Linked DNA regions of Alligator mississippiensis. The protein of the gene in region 3 purifies or fractionates together with the protein of the main gene of each other region. This does not show direct contact. Links are inferred from orthologs where the notes say so. Each region holds a gene or a part of one and is shown on either strand. Other genes may lie near its edges. The genes, in order: PARD6B, RASSF8, PARD3 and PRKCI.

The links.
Region 1: the proteins of PARD3 (region 3) and PARD6B purify together in Homo sapiens (affinity purification with mass spectrometry; 5 studies listed by BioGRID and IntAct, counting the BioPlex papers as one, with this or other methods). This does not show direct contact. The link is inferred for Alligator mississippiensis from reciprocal best matches to the Homo sapiens genes PARD3 and PARD6B.
Region 2: the proteins of PARD3 (region 3) and RASSF8 purify together in Homo sapiens (affinity purification with mass spectrometry; 4 studies listed by BioGRID and IntAct, counting the BioPlex papers as one, with this or other methods). This does not show direct contact. The link is inferred for Alligator mississippiensis from reciprocal best matches to the Homo sapiens genes PARD3 and RASSF8.
Region 4: the proteins of PARD3 (region 3) and PRKCI purify together in Homo sapiens (affinity purification with western blotting; 5 studies listed by BioGRID and IntAct, with this or other methods). This does not show direct contact. The link is inferred for Alligator mississippiensis from reciprocal best matches to the Homo sapiens genes PARD3 and PRKCI.

What each region holds. Positions count from the first base shown.
Region 1 is NC_081832.1:12,816,323-12,823,361, forward strand, and holds the start of PARD6B (partitioning defective 6 homolog beta), read right to left. Parts: upstream 3,017-7,039; 5' UTR 2,887-3,016; coding exon 2,821-2,886; intron 1-2,820. UniProt on the Homo sapiens protein: Adapter protein involved in asymmetrical cell division and cell polarization processes. Probably involved in formation of epithelial tight junctions.
Region 2 is NC_081827.1:128,470,838-128,478,742, forward strand, and holds the start of RASSF8 (ras association domain-containing protein 8), read left to right. Parts: upstream 1-4,899; 5' UTR 4,900-4,989; intron 4,990-7,905.
Region 3 is NC_081828.1:194,860,415-194,867,609, forward strand, and holds the start of PARD3 (partitioning defective 3 homolog), read right to left. Parts: upstream 3,003-7,195; 5' UTR 2,802-3,002; coding exon 2,682-2,801; intron 1-2,681. UniProt on the Homo sapiens protein: Adapter protein involved in asymmetrical cell division and cell polarization processes. Seems to play a central role in the formation of epithelial tight junctions. Targets the phosphatase PTEN to cell junctions.
Region 4 is NC_081830.1:74,797,639-74,804,764, forward strand, and holds the start of PRKCI (protein kinase C iota type), read left to right. Parts: upstream 1-4,103; 5' UTR 4,104-4,121; coding exon 4,122-4,243; intron 4,244-7,126.

The DNA.
Region 1 (7,039 bases), on a different chromosome or scaffold from region 3:
CTCTCAAAACATCATATTATTTTTGCAGTTGAACATAAAAATTACTTTCCTTTACTCTTATTAGATAAGCTGCACTACAACAAAATGGAAGAGAAAAGCTCCAAGGAAGGCAAGGTTGTTTAAGAAGATGGGTATTCAAAGAAGAAAAAATGCTTAAAAAGGTGGGCTGCAGAAGAGAAAGGGGTTACCTGCTAATTGAGAACTAAAGCACTTCATAAAACATGAACAGCAGAGCATCCCCATTTTACAAGGGGAAAAGCACAGTACACTTCCCACCTATATGCTAGATGCATTGCTGACTATTTCCTTTTTAGATTAGAACTACACTAAATTACACTCTTTTGAGAAATGTTAGTCACATGCTTTACTACAGAAAGACTAATGCTGACTACTCTTGCCCTGCAGCATCCCAATGCTATCTTTATGTGATAACTTGCTGCAGCAGTAATCCAATGAGCTACAAACAGCCACACCATATTTTATGAGAACACTGAAACTAGTTCAGCACCATATTAGATGGGAGGGCAGGAGTGGGGAGAGGAACCTCACAGTACAGGTTTCCCTTGCTTTATGCTGTACATGTGTTCCTGGAAAACGGCACATAACTCAAATTCACGTAAAGGGAACCCACTTTACAATGCAATAAATAGGGATATGTTCCAAAACCTCAACTGTACTGACCATTTCTACCACTTTTACAAGACAATTTTGGTACTCGCCAACAGCAGGCAGTACACACAAGTACATGGCACTACCATAATGGGGATGACAACTACAGAAATAAGTGTTGCAGACAATGAGCAAAGAGCACAGATCCACACAGTAGACTACATTTTGGTGCATGTCACTCCCACAACGCGCTGCGCAAAGCAGCATAAGAGTGAACAGACCTCACATATAACAAATTTTTGGTATAAAAAGGGTCATCCCATAAGAGAAAATTTGCACATACAGAACCCATATAAAGCAAGGAAACCTGTATGCTGGTTTGTTGCCCACTACCATACACAAAGATAAAAGTCTCTACAACTGATACTGTAATCACTTTGCATTTCAAAAGAATGAGATTTGATGTGCCCAGTGAAACAAGTACAACTGCAAATATTCTTTGGTTCTAAAAAGTTCTTCATCCTTCTGAAAATATCCATTCTATAGCATCTCACTTGAACTGTACTGCCAGCAAGTGCATGCTGTGGTCTGAAACAGGCTTCTGCTCACATACATACATTAGTTGTGATTTTGGTTAAGTTCTCCAGTGTAAATTAGGACACAGCAAAACTGTTCATTAGAGGATCTCTCTGTTTCCAGCAAAGGAATACAAACATTCCTGCAAAAATGTGCTTAAGCAAGACGCTTTGCTTCTTTACATCCCTTGCAACAGAGACAAGCAGATCCAGTGACAGACCCTGACACCCACTGACATATGGATCTGTACAGAGCTTAAGATGTTCTCATCACTCACTAGCAACTTACGCCTCTTCCAAAACACCAAAAGGGCATGCATATAACATCTTTGATAACATTCAGTTTTGTTCTCATTCAAACAGGACATCTGTATCTGGGAACTGGTGGCCTGAAACACCAAGCTGATTCATACACATTAGGGCTGATGAAAGAGGGGTTTTTATTTTTAGACAAAACAAAACAAAAAAAGGTGCATCTCCAATTACATTAAATGAAAATATAGAAGTGGAAAAAGGTTATGAGCAACTATATCTATAGACATGCTTAAAATAGCACTTTTCATTTTAATCACCCAAGAGCTGTTACACCAATGGACTCTTATCTACACAGGTTTTCTGAAACTGTCACGTTATTAGTACAACCTATGACAGAAGCTGCTGATACCTTTACTATCTACACCGCCACGTCACGGAGCCTTCAAATATATCTATGCCCTGATCACAGTTAACATCAGGAAAGATGGAAGCGGTAAAAATAGGCAGGGCGCAGATTGTTACAAACTAAACAGCACGCTGGTAAAAATGCCTATACCAAGCCTGCATTGCAGCTTCCACAAATGAAAGAAAACAAGTTCCCGAGTGCAGGCACACTCGCATTTGCTGAGAGGGGGGGGGAAAAAAGTGCTTTTTAGATCAAGTTACCCAATTGTATTTGGCTAATATGGCTTGACACACCCTTTCATAACACAGATAAACACCTTTACAATGCTGAGTTCCAACACCGTCAGCGAGCAAGATATTAGGCGGGACTGAATCTTGGTCGATGCCTGAAAAATGCTGTTCAAATATATCTGTTGCTTAGGGGCACGGGAAAGCAACAAAATCAACCCGTTCCTCAGACCAACATCGCTATCGATGCCAGGAAAAGAGAAGAAAAAAGAAATCGAGCATGCGAACGCAGCCCTGCACCGTGACTTATTCAGCTGCGGCTCTACCTGCAGGGGGAGGTCTGCCGGCACGGCAACCGCTCCCCTCGTCCATGTCGCCCCCAGCGTAAGGGGTATTTTTTATCATTGTCTCTCTCCTCCCCCACTTTTTTCCTTGGGACCTGGTCAGGGTTCCTGCCTCAGGCAAGGGCTCGGACTAGAGGTCCCCTCCCGCCCCCAGACTCCCTTATTCCCCGACAGAGGAGAGGAAAGCAGGGCAGGGCAGGGCAGGGCAGGGCAGGGCGCGCTCCCCCCCCCGGCCGCCGCCGCCGCCGCCGCCCCCCGACCTGCGGCCGCTAATCTCCGCTCATCTCCCACGTCAGAGCCGCAGCTCGGGGCGACACGGAGCGGAGCCCTCGCGCGGACAACCGCCGCCGGGCCGGGCCGCGAGTGACCCCGGGCCCGGCAGGTGAGTCAGCAGCGGGACCCACCTTGCTCTTCACCTCCATGGTGCCGAGGCCGCGGCTGCCCCCGACGCCGCGCTGGGCCCGGTTCATGCCGCAGGCGGTCGGAGCCTCCTCCTGGGAGGGGAGGGGGGACGCGGTCAGCCCGTCCTCCGGCCCGGCCGCCCCTCTGCGCGGGGAGGAGCCACCCGCGGGCCTGGCACCTGCCGCGCCGAGGGGGGAGGGGCGGAGCGCTCCGCGCATGCGCAACGGGCCGGCGGTTCGGCGCACCTGCGGCGGCCGCGCATGCGCACCCGCTGCCCGGCGGAGGAGGGGGCGGGAAACGCGGCTCGGCGCACCTGCACCTGCTGGGCCACGTTCCAACATGGCCGGCGCATGCGCGGTGGGTGCTGCGGGGGCGGGAATATGGTGTGGGGTTGTGTGGGCCCAATGCACTCAAGTCTCTAGGCTGAAAGGGGCGCAGGGCAGGCAGGGTATGTCTCATGTGCGTCTGACAAGGGACTATGGCCAAGGGATTAGGAGCCAGGACAGGCTTCCCCACAGCCAAGTCAGGCAGGGTGGGGAGCCAGTTCTTGTCACGCCTCTACATTAGGGTGGCCATCATAGAGGACGTTCCGTTTTTCTGCTACTCTGTTGATACGAAACCCGATGCCTTTATGCCCTCTATTTTTCATCATAGAGGACGTAAAGGAGTCCGGTTTTGTATCGACAGGACAACCGGACTGTCCTCTATGATGGCTGCCCCACCCTACATGCACCAGGCAGGGTTCTTTGAGTAGATGTGATGTTCATAGATTGGAAGGGGCTGGAAGGGACCTTACAGATCATTGGGTCCAGCCCCCTCCCCTACTCTAGGCAGGAAGACAAATGTGGTGAAGTGACCCCAGCGTGGTGACGGTCTAATAAAAGATATTAGACCAACTTAGCAGTTGGCAAGAACACCTACATGCACCTGCCTCCCACAGGCCAACCCGCTGCTCCCAGGCACCTGCGGGAGCAGAGGGGGAGACAGCCCGCCCCACCTGCCAGGCATCTCATGGACCGGCAAACTGCAAATGCCTGTGCACAGGGCTGCACCTGTTCAGTTCAAATCAAATGACATTTGAGCATTGATCTGAGCAGTAGCCATGTCAATCTGAGCACAAAAGGCAGGTGAAGTCTTTGGGTAGAGGCGATATCTTTTATTAGACCAACTAAATAGTTGCAAAAATGTTATTTGCAAGCTTTTTGGCAACTGCTTAGTTGGTCTAATAGAAGATATCACCTCTACCCAAAGACTTTGCCTGCCATCTCAGCACTGAGACCCCAGTCGGGACAGTGCTTCTGCTGGCAGGCTTTTAAAATTCATTCTAGTTGTAGAGGTGTTACTGTTTCTCACTAAATTTCTCATTTTTAGTACATGGACTGTCACTGGATTTGGCAATATTTATCACCCTGAGTGAACTTTCAAAGCATACTCGTGTATTGGTTGAACTCAGATATACACGGCTAGTCTACTCTTAAAATTTGTGTTTGCCACTAGAATCATCTAGCAAATCCCCCTAGTGGAGACACTTTATAGAATAGAGCTTTTTCAAAAATTAATTAACTAAGCTATACAAAAGGATTTTTTTCCTTTAGAAAAGGAGGGGAAAAAAGGTCACATCTATAATTAGTATAGTTCCGCAGGTGAAACTTTTAAATCGTACACCAGATTTTAAATTTAAACATCTATTTTGCATGGCATCATATCAACTTCCAAATCTGTGTGCCACGGTCTGGTGTGATTGCTTAATGTGTGGACTCCGTCTGCCCTGTCTGGGCTTTTGTAAAGATTGCAGCTTTCAAATAAGTGCTGTGTCATTTGTCGGACACCACATTCACGCAGGGGGCATCCAGAATGCTTATCTTGTAAAGTGTTGTTTTGAACCATCTGTATCCAGATCAGGCTGTTCACCTTGCCCCACAATTCTCTGTCAAGGTCGTGCCCAATAGGGGACGTACTTGGTGTTGGTATAAACTGCTGTAGGAATAGGTGTGATCTTTCGCAGTGGTCATCCCATTCCGTTACTGCCTATAGGTTAGGTTCAGCATCCCCAATCTCTTCAGGGAGCTTATGGGCTTCATGTGTAAACAGTTAATGATTTAAACATAAACTAAGCTAAATCCAATAGAAGAGTATCCACACACAGAATTACACCATTTTAACAAAATAACTTTAAAATCACATTTTAAGGTAAACTGGTGCCATGTAGTGTGTAAAGCAGGCCAAAGGCCAACTGTGAGGCAGAGAAATTGTACCTCTCACCCAAACAAGACAAGACCTGATTAGTGCAGAGGGTATAGTTCAGTGTTAAAATGTTTTGTTATAGATCAATAGATGCTTAGTTCAAGTCTACACATCCCTGCTTCTATTTGATAAAGAAAATAGTGAAGTGACATATTTGATCTTATCCATACCTAACACTGGATTCTCCTGTAACACGGACATACTTGGAAATCAGTGGAATTATAGCCATGTCAGCAAAGATGAACTAATTAATTTGTCATTTCACAGTCGCCAAAACTGAGAGAAAGAAGTGGCTTCTCTCTGTCTCTATCCAGTTCTGCTCTTGTTTATAAGTGACCAGCTTTGCTGTCCTGGGCACTTGGAAGATGCAGAGGCCAGTGGAGGAGACAAAAGAGGCGCACAGCTTTTTCAAGGGTTAGCATTGCAATTGACTTACCTTTATTCTGAGGTGGAAACCCCTCCAGGAAGTTCTGTGCACTTAAAACTGTAAAGAAGCTGATGTTATCATTACAGATTTATTAGGTTTCCTCTAAGAATGCGTCTCACATTCCTAGAGTTGTTGAAGTGCCATACAACTGGGTGTGGCCTCGTGCTTGCAAGAGTCAGAGCAAATTCATCTCGAGTCACTGGAACCAACCTAATAAAAAGTATTAATCACTAGCTATCTTGCATTACAGTGAGCTGATATTGCGTAAGAAAGGAATGTGATGAACAATTTGGTTTCAGATAAAGGTAAGGGGAGGGGAAGCTGCCTGTGCCAGGCATAGTGCAGAACTGCAGGGCTATTTTAGTTCCAAGTTCGATAAACATGTGATTAAGAGTTAAGCTATTCACTGCCCCTCAAAGAAAATAATGTTCTGTGTCCATCAGCCTGTTCAGAACTCAAAGGGGAGCTGGGTATTTTTGTTTAAGGTTTCTTAATTATTTTGTGGTAATTGACAGCCTCCCACCCTCATTGCATCATTAAGAGCAGAACCCCCACACAGCTTGTATTCCCTATGACAAGTCTTTTTTCCATCTGATTCATTCCTGTTTTTTTTAATGGAGTGGTATTCCATCTATCTTGCCCAGTACCCGAAAGGTTTCCTCAGGGGATAAAATTCAGACTGAAGGAGAAAGCAGAAGGTTTGCATTAATATTTAATTCATTCTTATTTTTAAATTTGGCTCAAACTCCCAGGACTACCGTACGAAAAATAAGCAAAAGGATCTGTAACTCCATAGTTGTTTGGACGCTTCCAAGAGAAGGGGGAAACCTGGGTTCTGGTCCCTGCTGTTAACAATGTCTTCTATCTAGTAGTGCTTTAATGCAAAATACATAAGTAGGCCCTGGAACAAGGATGAGAACCCAGGTGTCCCACCCCACCTTTCTTCCCTCATTCAAAACAGTGCCTTTGTCACTGAGCTAGGGAGTCATGCTAGCTTTTACTCATTCTCTCTGGCTCTGTGAATCTTGCAGTTCTTATAGCTTCATCAGGAGTCATGTGAGTTTCCCTTTCCCAGATGATTTTATAAACCATTAGTATAGAGCACTCTTCTAGGAGGAAGATATATAGGGTTCTGACCCCCCCTCAAGCTGAGGAGGGCCTAGAACCAATGTCTTCCATTTCCAGAGTAAGCGCTCTAGCTACTTGGCTGTTATATAAGTGGTGGGTGCTAGCACCACCACTTGATTTTGAATGGAAGTGGCTGTAGATGGTAAATCTATGCATGGATTAGGTAAATCTTGGATTGACCATGTAGATATTAATGGAAGTTCTGTCCACTTTTGGTAAGTGAAGAAAAATATCAGTGATAGTTTAATGGAAAAGAGAAAGATGGTTGTAGGAATGTGATAACAGATTGTCATGCTTTCTTTCCATGAAAAAGGATCTGAAGTTTGCAAAACTTTACAGCATTTAACACTCATAATAAGAATCAGTACTTTAGCTTCCTTCATACTGGTGTTTCCCTTTTATAAACATGCAGTCATTTTCCA
Region 2 (7,905 bases), on a different chromosome or scaffold from region 3:
GGGAAAGCCCAATGCCCTTGGGCTTTTCCAAGCCCTACAAGGAAGCTGGTAACTTTAGGGGGGCTCCTCCCAGTGGGACTTCCCCCACAGGGGAGGAGGAGTCCTCGCTGGTTAGTTAAGGGCTCCTGAAAGTGGATCATCTTTTCCCTGCAACTCATGGCTCCCAGGCCTGGAGGGTGGCCCTCATCCTCTGTGCCAAGCTACTCTCTCACCTGTAGTGGGCTTGGGGGGAGGGGGTGCTGTCCCCTAGAACAGGGCTTCTCTATGCAAGGCTTCTGGGGCCTCTGGCTTGGTGCCATCTGGTGGCTCAGTAGCTCAAACACCGTCTGGCTCCTTGGATTAGACCTTTTGCTATGGGTCAAAGGCCTGGGCTACCTCCATTCAGCGCCTCCTGCAATGAGCTCCTAGCCTCATTCTGGGGGTTGAGGACCTGAGCCACCCAAGCGCTCCAAAGGTCCTACTCCATGCACCAGCCTGTGCACCATGACTCTGGCCACACACCAGAAGTTGCAGACCCAAGCCGCTTCACGCAGCTCCCAGGGTCTGGATGCCATGCTGCACGCCGAAAGCCTAGCTGCTGGAGCCGTCCGCCATTCCCCACTGATGGAAATCTTCAGGGGTGCTCCTGGGCTACTGCTTCACCCTGCTGAGCAGCTCTCCTCAGCTCTTCTAGGCCCTGATCTTCTCTGTCCCAGATGCGTTTCCCCTCATGCTGGGCATGTAGCTCCTTTTATACTCTCCAGGGCTCTGCCCCTGAAGTCTTCCAGACCTGAGTGTTGCAGTCTTCAATCAGGTCTGAGAGGGGGAGGGGGGGGGGAGCAGCTCCTCTCCCACTTCTCTCAGGAAAGGGGAATGACTTAACTCCTTTTGCTGCCTCCTGATTGGTAGATGGGCTCCACCAATTAAAACAGCAAGTTTTCAAGCCTGGGACTCAACCCAAGCTCTGAAAGGCAAGCCTGCTACACTAGCAAATGTTTTGTTAATAAGATACTTTCCAATCCTCTGGAATTTGGTTTCTTCTCCAAGTCCAGAGCCTTCTGGCTCCTTAGAAAAACAAAGCATTTTCACTTTACCTTTCCATCAGTCTCTGTTGCCTGGATCCTAGTCCTTTTCCTCCAGTGAAAACTCCATTGACTACTTGCTGGTCTTTGGGTTATTTCCCCCCCCCCCCCAAAATCACTGATGGCAGTAGGATGAAATTGACATAAAAAAAAAAAAAATATTATAGTCCACTGCTCTGGGACTAGCCTTGTGCCCTGGTGCGAAACTAACCAGATTTGCTAATTTCACCCTGTTGTGGCTTGGCAAAGCCACGAGCAACGCATAGTAAAGCTGGTCACCCTACAAGTTGGTGATGCTTTGGCAAGTTATATTCTGTTCACATTTGGATACAACCATAAGGGTTATAAATGCATTTAGTTACAGGGTCCAGAGGTAAAACTTAATGGAACATTATAATGGAGCTATGCTAATATACACCAGATAAGGACATAACTATAAATCTTCATATAATCCTATTCATAATATGTATACCTTTCAATTTCGTACTGTTTGTATTCATAAACTCATGTTGGGAACAGAAGCCATCATATTAATATGGAGAAATGACTGACCAACACAACAGTTGATGAAAAACTGGACAGGAATAGATGAGATGTCAACACAAAGATCATTTTCATTCTAAGGACTCTTGGAGGCCTCCTCCCTCCCAAAGCAACGATTTATAACACCAGTTGTGTGACATTTCCCAGCTAAAAGAAAAAAAAATTAAGTACGTCAATCAACCAGTTGTCACTGGGAGTCCATGGTAGATGCATCTGCTCAGTGCTTCTGCAAATTAGTCCTTGAATCCAGAGGTGCATAAGAAATTGTTCGTTTCCCCTATCCAGTCATGCACAACTTTACCAGTCCACACAAGCAGGTTGCTTGGTCAAGTGAATGCATCTCTCCCTTTCATGGGCAGAGGAAGGAGGGAAGTCAGACAAGGGACTAAAAGCAAGGTCTTTTTTGTCAAGAAATATATAGTTTGTTAGGACTTTTATCCTTGCTGAATTTCTGTTATTATTTATGGTTGTCACGGTGGGGTCCTGCAGGAGGGCCGTGATCTCCTCAAGGCCCCCTTCTTGTGCCAAGTTGGCCCAAGGGCACCCTCAGATTCTCACCCGCCACGTCTTTGATGGAGATTAAATGTATGGGAGGCTGCCTTATGCCCTCTTGGTCACTTCTTAGTGGTGACTCAGACCCCGTGGTTTCCCAGACCCCTTGTGGGTCCCGTTCTACAATGGGTGCTTCCGGGGCACCCTAGCCCTATGGGCTATGCATGGCTCCAACCACCCCTTTCACCACGCCCCAAGCCTCGCAGCTGGAATAGACATTGTTCAGTCTCCTTCTGTCTCCACTCCCTTTCTGGCACTCGGGCTCTTGACAGCCCCATCTCTCTCTCTCTCTCTCTCTCTCTGTGCCCCCTCTCGGGGCTCTTCTCTGCAATGCCACCCCCTTCTCCAGGGCTGACCACGCCCACACTGGGGCTTCTCAGCAATGCCCCCTCTCTGGGGCTGGGGTCTGTGCACCCCTAATGCTGCACCCTTGCTGGCACTGGGGTTCCCACACTACTGTGTGTCCCCTATGAGGTCTCCTCCAAACCCTAATAGCCTCACCCAAACCACCGGTGATAAACAGCAACACAAAATGCAAGCCCATCGGCTATAACTTAAACAGAAGCCACCCGGCTATAATCATGCTTTGCCTACCAGGGTTCTTCATCCCACAGCCAGGTCATGTGCTGCTCCTTCAGCAGGCATCTCCTCTCTTCCACAGCAAAAAGCTCCTTCCTCCAGGGCTCCTGACAGGGACTACCTCTGGTCTTAGCTCCTAGGGTTTATAAGGGAGCCAGGCCCTACCCCTTTCAGTCAGCTGACCTCCCCTGGTTGCCCTGGCAACCCACAGCTGGGCTCCTTGTTCCCTGCTAGGGCTCTTTCCCCATCAGTTTCCCCTCTTCACGAGCAGGGCACCTAAGTACCCTGCGACAATGGTCTTCATTGCTGTACGAGACATAAGAGGAAGAGATTATAACTGAAAACTCTGACCTTGCAAACATATATGCCTGTGTTTAATTTAAACACCTGAGTAGTCCCATAAGGCTCCTTAAACTGCAAACTCTGCAGATGACTTCAGTGGGGATACATGCAAGTGCAATGCCCTGCTTGCATGAAGTCATTTGAAGGACTAGAGCCTCAAACACACAGGGAGAACAGACTATGTTATGGAGCCTAAAGAAGGATTAATTTGCAATATTACTCAAATGCAAGCAGGAATAATCACAGAACACCCTCTAAAGAAAAAAAAATCTATTGTTTAAAGTATTAAAAATAATACAAAAGGATGCAAAAAAAACCCAATAAAAAATGCTTTTCTGGGTTTGGACTTTTTATTATTCTTATAACTATTTCTCTACAAAAATAAATAACAAAAATATTTTGTTGCTTTTTCTCACAGAAAAATATTTCCCAGCTTACTGTTAGCCCTCTCCTTCTTTAAAAACTGGGACTTATATTTACAGAGTATGTGCTTGTACAGTATATACATAAATACACTCATGTGCAAAGGTTACATCCAGTGATATGCAAAGGTGAACGCACAGAATGCAGATAACATCATCAGGGTTACACCTAGAGAAAATGATGTAACCCCGGGGGGTAGGGGGGTACATACACACACAAATACGCACACACACCCATATATATATTATACAGGGTCTTCATAAAGTCTGTATGCACTTTTACACTTTAATAACTTAGGTTGTAAGTATAATAGAAACAATCTATAAATGGCATTTAAAAGCAAATTTATTAAAGTTTTAGGACAACTAGAATACACAATGTTAGACTTCAACATAACCACCATTTTCTTCTCACAGCTGATATGGACTTCAATTCTGCTACCCATACGACAGTTTACCTTCTCGTCTACAGTAGCCATTTTTTGTTTGTCAAAGGATCTGAAATAAGAACTAATTCATTATTACTTATGAAGTCTACCATTGTGTACTCTAGTTGTCCTAAAACTTTAATAAATTTGCTTTTAAATGCCGTTAACAGATTATTTCTATCATACCTACAACCTAAGTTATTAAAGTTTAAAAGTGCACAAGGATTTTATGAAGACCCTGTATATATATATTATACTAATAATTGGCATTTAAGGGGTTGAGATATAAAATGTATGCTGGTGGGAGTATGAAGGCAGCTGATAAATCTGGAAGGAGGTACACAATAAGAAAAAGTTTCAGAACCTCTGCTCTATATGTATATATCCTCTCTCTATATATTGGGGTGGAGAACCCCAGTGGCTATATATATATATATATATACACACACACACACACGCGCGTGTCATCTAGTCCGTGTGTATAGAGTTGTGTATATACACACGAACACCCACGCTGGGACTCTCCACCCCACTGTGTGTGTGTTTGTGCATATCTACACCCCTCTTCAAAAACATGTATATATCCCCTATATGTATCTATCATCTGTCTCTCCACACCCACACGTAAACACACTCCGGTGTATTCACACACGCACGCCCACACACAGCAGTACACGTACATGCACACGTACACGCGCGCGCGCACACGGGTGCGTCCTGCTGAGGCGCCCCTTGTAGCAGTCGCCGCGCTGCCGCCATGCCCCGGGCGCCTCTGTGCGTGTCCGCCCTGCACAAGCGCGTGCTCTCTCTCTCACACACACACGTACTCACACGCACTCTGCCCCCGAAGCGGCCCCTGCCCTCAGCGCGGCCGCCACTGGTGCTTTAAGACGCTCCCACAATGCCGTGGCGCCCGGCCCCGTTACCAGGCAGCTCGGGCCGCGGCAGGGCCGGGAAGGGGCGGGGCGGGGCGAGGTGCCCCGCGCACAGCTGAGGGGAGCTGGCAGTCGGGAGCCGTGTGGGCAAAGCTGAGGACCCGCTGTGCTGGAGCCGCCGCTCGCGGTGAGTGTGGACTCGGGACGTGCCCTCCCCCGTGGCCCCCGGCCGGCCCTCTCCTCTCCTCTCCTCCCCTTCGCCCCTCGGCTCTTCTCCGTCTCCCCCAGCTCCTTTCCCCACTTCCCCTCTCTTCGGTTTTTAACAGCCCCCACCCTTCTCTTCCCACCTCCAACTTTCTCTTCTTCCTGGTATTTTTCACCCCTTGCTTTCTCTCTCTCTTTTTTTTCTATTTCCTTTCCACCACCCTCAGTTTCCTCTTCTACCCTGTTTCCTCCTGGCGGCTCACCCCCCCTCTCCTTCTCCTTTCTTTCCCAGCTCCCTTTCCTCCCCTCTTTTATTCCCCCCCCCCTTTTTTTTTTGGTATCTCTGTCCCTCTCCATACAGCTCCCCTCTTAAAAAGTCAGGGGTGTTTTCCACACCCTTGGCAAGACAGTTTCGAAGCCACTTTTACCCATCAGGAGAATGTGTAGCTCTTTATTTTTCTTTTTTTTTTAAACTTCTCTGGGCTCTCTCTTGCCTTCCCCCAGTCACCCGAATGAAAACAAAATGAGTTTTTCTTCCCAAAGTGGATTGTGTTTTTGTGTTGGCTCCCCCCCCCTCCCCCCCCCCCCCCCCCGCCCCTTGCTTCCAGACAGCCAGGATTTATTTTGTGGTTAATCTTTTTTTTATTTCCCCGCCTCCTAGTAGGAAAAAGATTAAAAGTAAATCCGTCCTGCCTGTGGGGAAATGGATCAGATTTTAGGACTGGCTGCTAGGAATGCTTGAGTGAACGGTGTCTGATTTTGATCATAAAACAGCTTTAAGGCTAGGCAGGCGGGTGGTGTGGGTTTTTTTCGGTCATTGGTCGATGCAGCATTGAGTACATTGTAAACTTTGTGGAGACCGAGATGGGTTTGATTTCTTTTTTTTTTTTTTTTTAATTTCCAAGTCAGTCTTCTGATATGGGCCAACCCATCTTTCTCCACAATCAAATGTCATTTGGAGACAGCAACAAAGCTTCACATTAAATTGCAGCTCTGCATTGCTCGTGGATTTGATTGGTGTCCTATGTAAAAAAGGAGAAATATGGTGCACATTTTGTTGTGCCTTACTGAATTGCACCTGTCTCCTCTTCCATTTGAGTCTTGCACAGATCGCAAAGCTTGGCATAATAATGATCAGAAAAAAGTCACTAGAAACTAATTGAATACCTGACCAAATATATTGTGGGTTATGAAGTCTGGCTTGTGCTTTACAAGTGGCTGCATCATCTTTCAGCAGCATTGCTTGTTAAAATTAAATACGCACTGGACTGTGGAGAACTGCTAAATCAATTACCCCTTGATTTCTGGAAAGACACCTGGATTAAGATGATTATTTTCTTAAATTTTCAACTGATTTTGTATATGCAGCGCTATCCCTACTGTATGTATATCTTTGGGAAATGTAATCAAATTGGACATTAATTTGGTGCCGCTTCATATCATGGGGTCGGGTCTGCAGATGGGTAGGTAAAGAGTTGGGGGTGCTTTTTTTTCCTCAGTGGATTATATTGTGTTTTTTAAAATACATTTAAGTTAGATAAGTTAATTGACAATATTGTTTGTAGTGTCTGCATAATTTTTAATATAAGACAAAATGAGGCTGTCTTTGGGGAAGGGGAAGTGAACAGAAAAAGACTATTTTTCCTCCACGGAGTTTTCAAAAACACATGCTCCAGCAGGATAAAACAACTGTGTAATACGGTTTCTACAGCTACATGAGAACCTCTAAATCGGCCCTTCCCATCAAATAAAAAAATCCTTATAGAAGCTGCCCCTAGTTGCTTAGATTGGTAAAAGATGGGTCTTTCTCTGTGTCAAGCTTTCTGGAGACAAAAGACAAATTTGTGAATGGAATCATAAGAAACAGATGGAAAGGCAGCAAATGCTTCTGGCAACAAGTTAGTACATCTTTTTGGAGTCTGGTGGTGCTGTGTCCAGAAATATGAACAACCTGACAGAGATGACTAGCAGCTTATTTTTGATCCTTCCTTGAGGGAAGCTTTGAAAAGGGATGTAGTATTAAGAGGGGAATGAAATCTAGCTTTAAATGAAATGCAGGACTAGGGAGTTGAGTTTCTGTGCCTGTTTGCTGCCATTCCATGGCATGTGACCTTTACCTAAACTTCACCGTCTGCCCCCCTCACAGGATGTTGAGTTTTCCAGTAATGACTCTAAACTACTTTTAATACCATTTGGTGAAAATTCTTTGGTGCAAATGTATCAGTCTGTTTTTTTGCCTAACGGTTGTTTAGGAATGTTAGTTAAGTAGCCCTATGGATTCGTATATTAATATTGGCTCTTGTACGGTTGGGAAAGCACAAACCTCTCTTGTGTACACAGTTAATGTTGTGCTCTGACAGCAGTATATGTGTGAGCACATGGGGAATTTTAACATTGGCATACTGTTATGGAAACCGACCTTCTGCTCATCCACAGTGCAGATATTAGTGCAAGTTTTCCCCATAGTGTGCACCTCAAGCCACTCCTGAATAGGCTGTTTAGTGCCTGGCAGAAAGGAGACCTATTAGTTAAGTGTGGAAAAAGTACTGAGACTCCCCTAGCTTAATACACAAAATTCCTGAGCAAATGTTTTTCCTTTGTAGATACTATAAACAACATTGCCTACTTCAAGCATTCGAAGCCTTATAATCCAGACTTCCAAAATCATGAGAGGCTTAGAAATTGTGAGGGTTTTCTTTCCCCTTTTTGGTGGGGAGGAGGGGCAGGGGTATACTTTTCTTTGCCTCCTTATTTAAGGTGTTTGTTGTTGTTGTTGTTGTTATTACCTGCTTGCGTCATGTTTTCAAGCTAGTAACTTCTCCTTTCTTCTTCTAAGAAAGCTGAAATTCCTCTCCCCCTCCTTCCTCTGCAATCTCTTGATTCCAGGAGTCAAAGCTTT
Region 3 (7,195 bases):
AATATATTTAAATAAAATATGTAATGTGGATCTTTGATTTTTAGTATATAATTTGGGGTTTTTTCCCAGTTCCAAGATGGCAAACTCGCTTCCCAAAAGGAGTACTTCCAGGAGCCAAGGGGAAGGACAGGTCATAGGTTACAGGGTGGGGCTCCACAGCTCACCAAAACTCGTTAAACGGCCCTCCAGCCAAAATAATTATCCACCCTTGCTTTAGGCACACATGCTCTAAGCAATCCCCTTGAAGGGACTGCTCCCAGTATAGAGCAGTGGGTGCACAAGTTTTGCAGGACTGGGACCAGTGTTTTCAAGTGGTAAGGCCAATTAAAATATTTTCAAAAAATGTCCACTAGATTTCTGATGTCCTGCAAGAGGTGTGTGCTTTCCAAAGGTTAAGCAACTTCAAATGAAGTCAATTTGAAAACACCCCCTCCTACATATTTTCCTCCTCAATTACATATTTGATTAAAATAAAAGGTTAAAAAAGAAAAAAAAAATTAAGCTTCATACAACTGCAGCGTTCCAGTACAAGTGGACCCTCTAATTTCCACCCTAAGGGTGGAGTCCTACCATAAAGATCTGACATTACCACACCAACTATTTCCATATTAATCTGTTTCCTGAACAACAGTCCTGGTGTTCATTACATTTGGGGAGTTCTTCGTGTTTACTTACTGAGACACTTGTGTGAATCCCTACATTACCCAAGCACTTCAATGCAAGATCTTCAACTAACAACATCAAAACTCTGTTTTACATTAACAGCATAAAAGCAAGGGGCATGTGGTGTCCATTTTGGTGTTTTAACCAGACAGTATTTCCAAATAACAGAAACCATCTCATTGCAAGTAGGGTCACCTCAAGCCCACATGACTGAAGTACAGCTTAATCCCGGACAATACATAAATAAATGAAACAGAAGGTCTTTCAAAACCAGGATCAAGGGCTTCAGGGGCTGGAAGCCACCAAGACTATAACCACACAAATAGCCTTGGCGGTGCATCTGTCAATATATCACATTTCAGAGGTTCTTAAGTTTTTTTCCCCATACGGTAGACAGTTTTGGTCAAAGATAACTTGTCCTCATTTGCAATCATACAGAAATCAGAATATCTTCCTTCACATAACCTCCCTGTGTTAACTATTGTAACGGTTACATTCCTGAAATTATATTTCAGTGCATTTGTTGCCATATTTTAATGAATTTTAGCAGCTGGAAACAAGAATGAGATTCAGCCCGATGTGAGAAGAAAGATAGTTACAGGCTACAGGTTGGAAACCCAAGATGTTTAATACAAGCAACGTTATTAATGCAACATTAATACTAAAAAACTTGGGGACCATTTCGGAGAACATATGGCACCCGTTAAATTAATAGCATTCAGTCCAGGAGTCGGGGTTTACCAGATTGGGGCTCTTAACTATAAGAAAGCTTGGGAAGCAGTCTTTTATTTGCATGTGAAATGCCACGCACAACAAGGATGGTATATAAATGATAGCAGCTGGTATATAGCAGCTGCCATACTTTAGTTAATCATTGTACTTTTTCGCTAGTCAGTGCTGTAACTGTGTGTTACACACCAGAAAGATTTTAAAAGATACACTAAGTAGTCATGATTTTTCCCTCCAAAACCATCTTCTTGAGGAAAATTCATCAAAAGGTAGAAACTTAATTGCCTTCGTCCCCCATCCTGACCACGTCTTGGGGGGGAGCGGGGAGGGCTGTGGGCACATCCTGTCCAACCCACCGGCCTAATCCCCGTGTACTTTCAACTCCAGCTTGGCGCAGTTGGAGAAACTCCTGATGTAAACATCTGTAAAGCGAAACCCTGCCATCAAGTATGTGTGTGTTTTGGGGGGGGGGGGGGGGCGGATTTCAGAGAGGTTGGAAAAAACCAAAGAGAGTAATTCATGCCCAAACATCTGAGCCGAGTACTTGGAAGAGACACTGGACAACATTTCATTAAATAACCAGCCGCGGGGGGCTCCGACTGGAGAAAGGCAGGCAAGCTTTTGAGGGCACAGCCGTCTCCGCCCGGCCGGGGCGGGAAGCAGCCGGGGGCAGCGGGGGTGCGGAGGAGACCTTCCCACGGGCAGCACCCGAGCCCCGCCGAGCCCGCCTCCCGCCCGGGGCCGCTGCCAGCGGCGGCAACCCGACCGGGCCGGGCGGGGCCGAGCGGGGCCCGGCGCACGACGGGGGTGGCGGTGGGGGTGCGGGCCGCCCCTGCCCCTGCCCCTGCCCTGCCCTACCCTGCGGCCGCGCGTGGCCGGGGCCGGGCTCGGGGCAGCGGACGGCGCCGGCCGGACACAGGCTCCTCCCTGCGCTGGAAACTTTTTTTTTTCCGGGGGAAGCCTTGGCTGACAGGACCCCCCCGGCCGGCCCGGCCCGGCACGGCCCTTTTGTTCTCCGCGAGTTACTTTCTTTCCTTTTTTCTCTGCAGCTGCAGAGAGCCGCTGCCCCGGGGCCAGGGCCTGGCTCCTGGCGCCGCCCGCGGCGGGACCGCCACTCCGGCCAGCGCTCGGCTCGGCTCGGCTCGGCCCGGCTCCCCCCGGGCGCGCCCGCGGCGGCGGCCCCGGACAAAGCGCGGCCCCGGCCGGGCTCCGCTCCCGCTTCCCGGGAAGCGCCATGTTGCTCCCGACGCCGCTCCCGCTCCCGCTCCCCCGGCCCCGGCCCCGCGCACCTTGGCGATCGCCTTGCGGTAGCGGGTCACCGCCTGCTGCACCAGGTCCAGCACCTTCATGTTGCCGTCGCCGCAGGGCACCACCACCCGCGTGCGCCCGAAGCACACGGTCACTTTCATCCTGCCCGGCGCCGCGACCCCGGGCGCGCCCAGGCCCCGCTCACATGCTCGGCCGCCGCCTCCGGCCACCTGTTCCGCGGCCGCGCGCGGCTCGGGCGCTCGCTCCGGCGGGGGCCGGCAGCAGCGGCGGCAGCAGCAGCGGCGGGACGGGGCCGGGGCGGCGCTGTCTCCCCGCGATGGCCGCGCTGGGCATTGCGGCTCCCGCCCCTGCCGCGGGGAAGGGCCGGCTGCGGCTGCACCTATGACACGCGCCCGGGGCGGGGACTGCGCGGGAGGCGGCGGCGGCTCCTTTCCCCCGCTCCGAGGGGAGGAGGAGCAGGCGGGACCCTTCCCTTGAAGGCTGCGGCAAAGCCAAATCCGGATCCACGGCAGCGAGGGGGCAGCCCCCCGCCCGGCTGCGACACGGGCGCTTGTTCCCCGGCGCAGCCTGGCAGGGCAGGGCAGGGCAGGGCAGGGCAGAGCCCGGCTGCCCGGGGAAGCTCCGAGCAGCGACCCACTGGATCAAGGGTGGCCGACCTGCGCTCTTCAGAAGTGAATATGCCTCTCCTTGAGTCTGCACCAGCTTGGCGGCTGTGCTTGGAAGGAGCTGGCCCCTGTGTGCTCGTGCAAAGATTCAAGGAGACACGTGTTCATGTCTGAAGAGCCATAGGTTGGCCACCCCTGCAGCCAGTGGGGACGCGTAGCGGGTGCATGAGGGTGCACGTGCACCCCTGAGAGTGCTGTGCGCCCCCTGACAGGCCGCGCTCCCCGCTTAGGCGAGGGGCAGGTAGGAGCCCTGGCCAGGGAGTGGGAGCGCCGCGTGAAGTGCTGCAGCCACCTCCAGGAGCACCACGGCCGCTTCCCAGTTGGTACAACTGGGGGACCCTGCTATGCCCTGGTTGGCAAGACTGGCCACAGGGGGACTCTTGCTGGTCGCTGACTGATCGCTGGAGGGTAGCAGTCACCCATGCCCACAGTACATTATAATGAGCTGTGAAGTCAAGTGGCTCCCTCAGCACTGACCAGAAATGCTGCTGCCAGTGACCAGGCCTGGACAGAGGCATGGGCGAACTGGGCAGCTGCCCAGGGCCTGAAAATGGTCATTTTTTAATTATTATTATCATTATCTCTGATGAAGTGGGGCCCAATACTAACAGGTTGCCTGAGGCCACCAAGAGTCTAGGTACCATGCTGCCAGTGATGGCTGTTGGTTTTAAACTTTGGATGAAGCAGTAATCGCAGTACACCCCCAATCCCCTCCCCATCTCCTTCTGCTTACCAACCCTCAGCAGGACACTGCCAGGCAGGGCAGTGATCGACAAGCCATGGTAGAGATCATGGAGGGATGGCTCACGCAGAGGGTCACTCAGAAGATGCACTCTGGCATAGACAGATCCAGGATTTTGAAATGGGTGCACATGGTGTGGCACAATCACACAGAATACAGATTTTTCTCCAGTTAAGAGACAAACAAGATGCTTTCCTAATATGCTAGGAGCTAGCCCTATATTAGGCAGTTTAAAAACAAGGCAGAAACAAATATAACAGCAAAATCAAAGCAAAAACAAATAAATAAAATGTGCACTAATTAGCTAGATTATATATGAAATTTAAAAAATTAAAGAAGCTAGGCAAAAAACAGTCAAGACCTATTCTGTCATTAGGCCTGTAATCATTACAGTTAAGTGTATGTCTCTTATGCAGGCTCATAAAACAAAATCTAACCTTCTTGAGGATCTTGGTGGTGCCTCCAATCACTGCGAGTCATTTCTACACCTGAGTTAAAGTCTTTAGCTAGAGCTAAAAACCACCTGCAAGGCTGTGAAATAGAAGAAAGACATCAAGAGGAATGGCTAACAGCAAAATTGCAGAAGAGAGGATGGTTTGAATAGTGGAAGGCCAACACAGTTAAAAAGGATAGAGGGTTCTTAACATCTGTGGAGTGGAGAGAGATTAGCAGGAATCAGGGAAATTACAGTGAACCATGAAGTCAACTGACTTTCAGCACAGCCTGAATAGAAATACCACTGCCCTTCCCAGGCAGTTGGGTTTTAAGGTTGTGTAGAGTAGGAATCTACGGGGGGAAGGGTGGGGGGTAAAACTGCACCACTGCACCTCCTCTGGATCCCCCCTGCACTCTGGTCCTGAGAGGAGCACCTATTCTGCTGACCCTGGCCTTCCATTATATTTACAAGGTGTTTCTGCTGCAGCCTTTCCCAGGCTCGCTCCATGGTGTCTCCTGGAAGCAGAGGCATGCAGGACAGTTCTGCTCAGTGGCAGCAACATTTCTCTCCAGACTGCCCCTGCCACCAGGTGAGAGTGAGCATACGCCTTCATTCTCAAGAAGCACATTCCAAGCCACCAAAAGCTGCAGCAAAAATGGTGCATCGGCCTGCAAAAATGTTTCCTGTGCTGTGCCTGACTTGTTCTGCTCAGAACTCTCAAAGAACATCTTGCATTCAAAAGCTTGTCTAGCTCTATCCCAACCATACAGTTGCTCAAATAAAACATACCATTCTAGGAAATCCTTGCCGCTTCCATAAAGTAATGCAGACTGGTCTGCTGCAGCTATTTCTCAGCTTGCCTCCAACATACCTCCAGAAAATAGAGGCATGTGAAAACAGAGGCATATTAATTATTTAAAATGAACATTGGTATAATCAATTGCTTTTGCTTTGGGGGAAATAAACCAGATTAATTTGTCATTAAAATGTTGCTGTACTATGTGTATGACCCAATAGATCACAATGACTTCAAATCTCTTTATATCTTTTGTAAGATAAACTATTCTAGTTAGATATTCTGTAAGTAGGCACTGATTATATAGAAACTGTAAGCTAAAAATATTGTATCTTGATGTTTTAGGTACTATAATGTATATCAGGTATTAGTCACTTCCAACAAACTAAGTTTTTGACCCATTTCTTTTCCTAATGTGAATAGCGCGTTAACAATTATCAATTAGCAGTCCTGCCAATTAAGGTTCTCAACTCACTAGACAAGTAAAGTCTGGACAGCAGCAATATGTTTCTCCATATTGCTCTGCCACCATGTCTTATTTATGATATTGGGATACTACACCTCTTGAAGATAAGAATCTGTCCTTTCACAGAATAACTAGTTACTGGCTTGTTTACTGTGATAGACAAAGATAATGCCAATTTAGGTTTTGTGGCCCACAGGTATCTTACCATTTACCTCAATGCACTTTGGACAAGCCATAAGATAAGGGTTGAAACAACCAACTTATTTCATACAGGCCACTAAACAAATCCAGTGTTCAGGTTCGTCCACTATCAAACAGCACTGAATTAGAACCAGTTGCATACATCTGAAATTATCCTTCTGTATGAAAGCATCTAGTAACTAAACCAGGAAACAAGCTCCTGGAAGTTCTCTTAGGAAATACCAACTGTTTGCTTTGTGTCCTTGGACTCCCTGTTGTTCAGCATCCTAATTTTTAAAATCATAATAAATGTATCACAGGAAAAAAATTGAGGCCTAGTTAGATCATGTTTTTTTGAATCAATGAATAAACATTTTTATTTTGTATTCATATAAACACACACATTATGATTACATAGCCAATTATTCTTTTTACTGCCATATTATATTTTACCATGTTATTTTCCTTGTTTTTTCACCACATTGATAATGTAGATGAAAGATAAAGATTTGTTGTGATTATCTTTTATTGGACCAACTGTATAGCTGAGAGAGCTGTTGGACAAACTTTCAGGCAGCAAGTTCCTTTCCTCAGGTCACTGACTGTATAAATAAAAAGATATCACAAGAAGTCCTTGCCTTGTACATTCACCAGGCCATCATGGCTACAACAACACTCCAAATCCTGATAATCTGTAGACTATTAAATATAAAACTGAAGTAAAACAGTGTGCAGCTCAAATATCTTGGATAATTTAAAGGGATGTATTTTTCTACCTACAGGGGCTTGTACCATCTTTAATTTTCCCTAAGTCTGGGGAAGGGCATGGGGGACCAAAAGCTTGCAAAGAAAGATAATTTTTTTGCAATTTCTTGGTCTAATAAAAGGTATCATCTCTGAAACAAGAGTTCTAGAGTTTTGCATTTCTTTCTAGACAATTTAAAGCGTTCCAAATGTGTAAGGTCATCATTTTTCATTCCATTTGCTATTTCAAAAATATTGAAGTGTTCCATTAACATGCTGCTATTGTACTTTCTAGGTGAACATCAGAGCTGCTGGGAAACAAGCTCGGAGCATTGAAAAGTGATAAGTCCTAGGTTTAATAGACATCATCTGAAAAACTTGCAGAAGCGGCTGTAAAGTGAAGTCAATAGAGCTATGAAGAGGCTTTGTCTTTAATAAGTAGTTCATAGATTCATAGATTCATAGATGTTAGGGTCGGAAGGGACCTCAATAGATCATCGAGTCT
Region 4 (7,126 bases), on a different chromosome or scaffold from region 3:
AGGGACAAAAGCTGCAAACATAAAGGTCAGTGTTGAAATCCATGTTGATCTAAATAATATAAAATAGCATTAGAGCCCTGAAATTATTGGAAAATCATGTCTCTTTATGATTTTGGATGTGGACAAAAGACTAATGTGGATATACCTAATTGCATCTTGTCTAGATTGCAGGGAGACCTTGGCAGAATTTAAGGGTTAAGACTGTGTTCTGGACTTTGTCAATACATTTATGGCTATGTGGTTAGAAGAATGATTTCAAAGCTTACATTCAAACATTATGAAATATGCTTGTCCATAGGTGGCTGATAGGAAAGCTGCATGTAGACTGGATAGCTCAGAGAAGTAAACTAATGAGCAAAGGCCTTGGACTTTCATTGTATTGACTCTAAACTTAGCATGAAGCTCAGTAGAAGTCAAAGACCATGGCTTTTGAAGGGGCCAAAAGCTGTTTTCCATACTAATGTTCTTAAAAAGAACAACTATGCTAGGCCTATGACTTAGCTGCAGCACTTGGGGGGGTGGATCATATGCTTTCCGAGGAGAAACCAGGGTTTCTGAAACAACATCCTTGACCTGTAAAAAGATCTGGTATATTATTACCACTTGGATGTAAAAATGTTGCAATAAGATTGTATCCTGTACAAGAATCCCTAGAAATAACTGTTAGTGGTTATAAAAATTGTTCTGTCATATAGCTCCCATTCCAGACAACTACCCTGGGCAGAAAGAGCCTCTGCCATAACTGTTTAGTGGCTGATAGGTACAGTTCATACTATGCATGTACAACATGCCTCAAGGGTGAACACTTTCAAATAAATTGCTGCTTTCCAGATGGTTGCACAGTTAACAATGACAAAGCCACAGCTTTTGAATGTACTGACTCATTTTTCATGGGTGAGCCATCTCCTATTGTGAAAAGGTATAATATCCTTTGGTCAGGTCAATGCTTGTTCAATTTTATCATCAGACAAGGTTTAGGACTAATTTTCTTTAAAGACAGGGATTTGTAATCAGGGACAATGGGAGCCCAAATGGAGAGACATGTTATTGCCTTACAAGGAACTTTCAGATTTTCTAATAGCTAGTTCACCTCCAGTGCCCCGAGATGGTGTTTTGAAACTAGGACTATTAGTGTTTGTCCATATTAGAAACCTGTGTCCAATGAACAAAATAAATATTATTATTTTTACCAGCCTGTACCTGAATGCAAACAAGAAATACCCAGTTGGAATCACTTAAATTATTTATGACAATTTTAATTTGCATTCACGTGCTTTGGAAGCACCAATGTTAAAATAAACCTCCACAAGGACTGCTTTTTTTACCCTTGCTGTCAAACTTCTGTTTCATATGTCTGGTACATACAGAGTCTAAACAGCATTTGCCTTGGAGAAATGATGACAAAAAGAAGGCAATCACAAGCAGCCAATGCACTATAAAATCGAATGGGGCGAGAAAAAACAGAATCCGGTTGGCCAAAATCTGTGATAGTGGAATTTATCTGCAAGACTGGATATGTTATTTTCTGAAAACATGACATTACACATGCAACAAAAACAAGATTTGTCAGGGTTTCTCATCTGATACAAGGGCATGATCAAACAAAATCACTAGACCAGTTATATCTAGGAGAAAGAAAGTATTTATTTATATTAAGGTCAAATTAAGGTAAACTCCAATGAAAAGTTGCTATATTGTTTCTAATCTCCTTGTAGAGGAAGTTCACACAGGTACTGACCCTCTATCACCAGTTCAGTGGATGATCTTCATAAATTCTGACACTAGGGGTCAGATTCTTAAGCCTGTTGCAGAAAAAACTACTACTATCAAAGTGATTTTGACAGAAACAGATTTTTGTATGCAGAATCACTCACTTTTTAGTAATCACTTAATTGACATGCCTTATTCCATCACCTATGTCTCTATATCTGTCCTGAAGAGTGCATGCCTTTCAGCCTGTTTTCCAGTTGTGATTTCTATTCCACCACATTTGACTGACTTCTAAGTATTGTAGCCATACTACTGGAACTTTGGTAAATGCAAGACCTCTTGTTTAATACTGGCTATTAGAAAGTTAGGTCCATGGATTCCTTATTTTTTTCTGAGGTGTTTAACAAATGAATTGACTGTCTGGCTTGTTGCAAGTCATCAAGTAGAATTTAGACAATCTTGCAGCTAAATTTCTAGATTTGTTTTCCTTTCCCAACAATAAGCTATAAACCTGTTGCTCCTGTTGCCACAGCTGTTTAAGTAGGTGGAGTGTCAAATATTTGACAAAGAGCTTTCTGTTTTCTTCTGGCAAGTTATCGATTGCCTGTACTTACTGCCTGCAGAAGTAAATACAACCCAAAAGCCATATTGGTGTGTATGGTGGCAGGGGGAGAGATAATGCAGTTGATCACTCAACCAGCTCACTTTTTTGGAGTAGTTCAGAGTGTTCCTCACCAAATGATGTTTCACTCACAAATCTGAGTACACTGTTGGAGCAATTTATTTCTGTAATTGCATCCTGTTACACCTGAATGCTGCTGCATTGAACACTGTAGCTCATGCCAGTTTTAGTAACTGACTCAATCACAAACTCAACACAGTGGTAACTCTTAGCACAGTTCTAGAAAAGGAGCTTTACAGTACATTTCGAAGGAGAAAATGGACTGCTCTAGATGCCAGTTTTAGCACATGCATTGGAAGCGGAACTGACATTAAAGTTAACAGGAACTGGACTGGGCTTAAATCCAACAAAGCACTTAAGTCAACAGGATCACCTAGTGCTTTGTGAGGCGTGTACTTGGTTTAATTGGAGCCAACAGAAGAATTTGAAGTCTGACTGTTCTCACTTTGCCACAAGCAGAGTACTCTGATAGGTATATTTTAAAATCTAAAAATGCTGCCTGTGCAAGGTCTTGTGGGAATGTCCTGAGATGGCCAACGATAATAATCAGCTTGTAGAGGACTAGTTATCTAATCGCCCACACACTTAGAGGTCTCCATAATTAAACTCTCAACAACACTTAGCTATTTCCTATTAAAAATAGAGAACATCCAGCTTTTTGTAACACATTGCTGCTCGTATAATACAAAATCTTACACGGCAGCAGCAATACCCTTGGCATTGTTAGTATAAGTTTTTGTAGCTGGGTAAGCTTAGTCCAGTGGTTCTTTGCCTTTTTGGACTCGAGACACCCCATGAACAATGACAACTTTTAGTTTTCACTCCATTTTTGATGGCAGAAAGGATATTAGAGTAGATGTGATATCTTTTATTAGACCAACTGAATAGTTGGAAAAAAGTTCTTAGCAAGCTTTTGGGCGCAATCGCCCTTCTTCAGGCATAGGAACAGCAGAGACTCCCTATGCCTGAAGAAGGGCGATTGCGCCCAAAAGCTTGCTAAGAACTTTTTTCCCAACTACTCAGTTGGTCTAATAAAAGATATCACATCTACTCAAAGAACCTTGCCTGCCCATGTCCCTAGACCAGTACAGCTACCCCCAGCAACCCAGAAAAATATTAGAAGAATTCTAACACGATATTAGAACCATTCTAACAACACTAGAACAATTAGAACAATTGCAAAGAACTCGGAAAAACCGCAACAGGTCACAACGCTTTGACATCTGCGGGTTTGTCTGGTGAAGCACGTGTGCACGCTTAACATTGGGGGCAGCCTTGCAAGGATTTCCAGGCTGCTGGGGTTGCCGTGGCTGGGAATCACTGGCTCACTTCCTGCCCTCTGGCCCGATGCTGAGCAATCCTGGCAACCCTGTCCCCGTGCATCCACGGGGATTCAGGAGCACCGGCACTGCCCGCCCCTCAGTCCCAACCGGTCCAGCACGCGCGGCGGACTACAAGTCCCATCATGCCTCACGGCTCCGGCATTGGGTTGTACCAACTGCCGTGGATTGAGGAGGGGGGGAATCCTCCTAACCCCGAGCACCTTCGAAGCGGCCCGCCCCCCGCGGTGTGAGCACTTGGTTCAGGCCGCGGGCAGGGGGCGGGGCAGAGGCGCTCCGGGGCGCGGGGGTAGCCGCCGCCTCTTCGCGCCGGGCCCTCGGGAGCGGCCGCCGCCGGGGAGGGAGGCGGGAGGGCAGGGGCGGGCGGGCGGGCGGGCGGGCGCGCGGCGATGCCGACGCAGCGGGAGGGCAGCGGCGGCGGCGGTACCACCATGTCCCACTTGTCGCTGGGCGGCGGCGGCGGCGGCGGCGACAGCGCTCACCAGGTCCGCGTCAAAGCCTACTACAAGGGGTGAGTGCGGCGGCGCCGCGTGTTCGGGGGCAGGCGGCATTTTTGGGAAGAGAGGCGTTTCCTTCTGCCCCTCCCTGGCTCCTCCAGGCCCCCGCTGAGCCTTGGCCCTTTGTTCCAGGGGTTTGCACAGTGCTTGGGAAGAGACCCCCCCCCCCCTTACCATCTAAGCAAGGGCAAGACTTGGCTTTGGAGAGAGATGAGCAAATAAAAATAAAGAACTAAGAGCGTGAGGAAATGCATCAGTGCTTTCATTAAGCCTGCATTGCTTTCCCTTTAGTAATCCATGTAATAATCACGGTTAAGATAAGGCCAAAAGCCACGCGATGATTGGGACAGTTTATATAGAGCTGTACGCGTGATATTTTGCTTGTCACTTCCGTCCGTAGCATCTCTGGTAGACCGGCTTTTTTTTTTTATTTTTTATAAAGAAATATCTGAATGGTGTTTGCGTGAGCATTTTGAGGTGTTAAATTACTTAGATTGTGTGCAGTTGAAAGCCATTTAAGATTTCATCGCTAACAAGAACAACAACGTGTTTCTTGTGTGCGGGTCGGTGTGAGATGCCTCTCTCCGTTCACCTGGGTGTAAATGCAGTTGTCAGTTCAAGTAAAGGATTGAAACTAACCAACTCCCTTTGTGACTCACGTTAATGATCCCGGTTATAAACAAGCTGTCTAACTGGAATGCCTTCCTCGTGAGCTGTATGAAGGTCTCATTTATACATTTCCTGCCCACCCCCACTATTTTCCTCTAACTTTATGCACTCCAAAAAATTCTCTCATGCTCCATTCAGCCTGTCAGACTCTCATCTTAAACTATCAGAAACCTTGCTAGAATATACGATTTTACTTATGTCTGGCTTCACACTTGGGGACTGAAGACCTTAAACTCTCTGGCCCCCTAGCTAGCATGGAGACAGTGCTTTTGCTCAAGGAATTTGGCTAGGGAAACTGTTTTGAAATTATAATTTTTTCTCTTCAGAAAAAAGTTGTTGGAGCTGACATAAGTGTGTATGTACATGCCTGCGTATGTATATGTACATGTTCTGATGGACCTTCACCAGGGAAGGTTTCTTGGCACAGGGATAGAATTTCTGCTCAAATCCAGGGGGTGGACATTTTTATGGTGGTACAAAGGCGAAGCAAACCAACATCCATACCCCCTTGTCTTGTGTCAAATGCCTAAAACTTGTGGTCATAACTTGTGACTTGGTAGCAGCCTATAAGTATACAAGGGGTGTGCATCAGGATCTGGGGGAACCCCTGTTCAGAGCACCCGAACGAAAGACAACGTCCAGTGGTCACAAACTCCTGGAAGACCATTTTAGGCTGGACATCAGGCAAAAAACTTCTTTACCATCTGTGTTCCCAGAGCCTGGAATAGCACCTGTAGGCACCTACTCCAGACACTTTTAAGAAACATTTGGACACTTATCTTACTGGGATTCTTTGACCCTAGCTGACTTCCTGCCTCTTGGGCAGGGGCTGGACCCAGTGATCTTCCAAGGTCCCTTCCAGCCCTAATGTTTATGAAATCTATAATCAATTTGTGATGCTTTATTACAGCAGATGTCTTTTAGGTTTATGGTGGGAGAGTGTGGTCAGCTCAGAGCTGCTGATGCTTTCCAGCAGCCCTGGGCTGGCACTCCCATGGTTTCAGAGTCTCAATCCCATGTGCCCTGAGAATTCCCATTCCTGGGGCAAGCAGGATCAGGCCCCGAAGGCCTGGGAGCACCTGCCTGGGTTCCCCTGTTTGGGATTTCCCAGACATCCATTGACACTCTAGTATGGTCCCAGACCTGAGACGGACAATCAGCTTATTGGCGGGGCCTGGGCCTTGGACCACACTGGAGTACGGAAATTGCTCCAGTGTAGTCTTGGGACTGAGGCTGCCAATCAGTTCACTCGTGGTTCCAGCCCCAGGACCACAATGGTGTATGTAGCTCTGTCTGATGTGGTCTCCAGGGCAAGTTTCTGTAAGCTGAGAAAGCTAGGGTTTCCCTTGTTAGAGATGTGCCCCAAAGATTTCCAGGGCACATCTCTGTTAGTGGGGAACACATTGCCCATTGTCCCACAAGATCAATGGCGGGACAATGGGCAATCTGTGTTTTGCCCAGTGAGGTGGATCAGTTATGCCAGGCGCATCCTGGCACTCCTCATCTGTTCCATTTGGTGCCATCTATTTCTAGCCTTAGAGCAATAAATAGTCTACCCAGGTCTCTTGCCAGGGAAGTCAAGTCCCTTGTCTGAATCAAGTAGGCCAGAGTCTTGAACTTTGTTCTTACCACATTGCAGGTTAATGCCCTGCCTGCTACAGGCCTGAAACAAGTCTCTTCATAACTCTTGGCTTTTGACAAGAATTTTATAAAGTCTGGGTTTACTCTGTAAATAGGAAAACTTCTGAAATTTAATTTTAGTGAAATCAAAACTTCATGAAAATCTGTTTTTGCTCAGTTGTAAGATATCTATTCAAGGGCTTTGTTGCTAGAGTATCAGCTGTGAAGTGTGTGAATTTTAACTCTTGGAGTTGCTGAAGAATTAGGTAGCAAAAACAGTCATCTCATTGCAGTAGGACTTGAGGGCTCTTTTGGGAACCTTAACCATATTCAGCCTGATTTATTAGAGCCTAGATCATTTGTTAAAGAGTGGCAAAGGTTCTCAGATGGTGCTGTAGCATTCATAAGAGATTCAACAAAAATTCAAAGAGCATATGAGTTTGATGAACAGTTTGAGGCACTATACCAGGGTAGGAAACCCCTGGCACAGGTGCCAGAGCATGGTGCACACAGGCATTTTGCTTGGCATGCGTGCCTTGGGGCAGAGGGTGGGGAAGGGGGCTGTGCTGCAACAACAAGGATTGGGCCCCTCATGGCTCCTCTGCCAT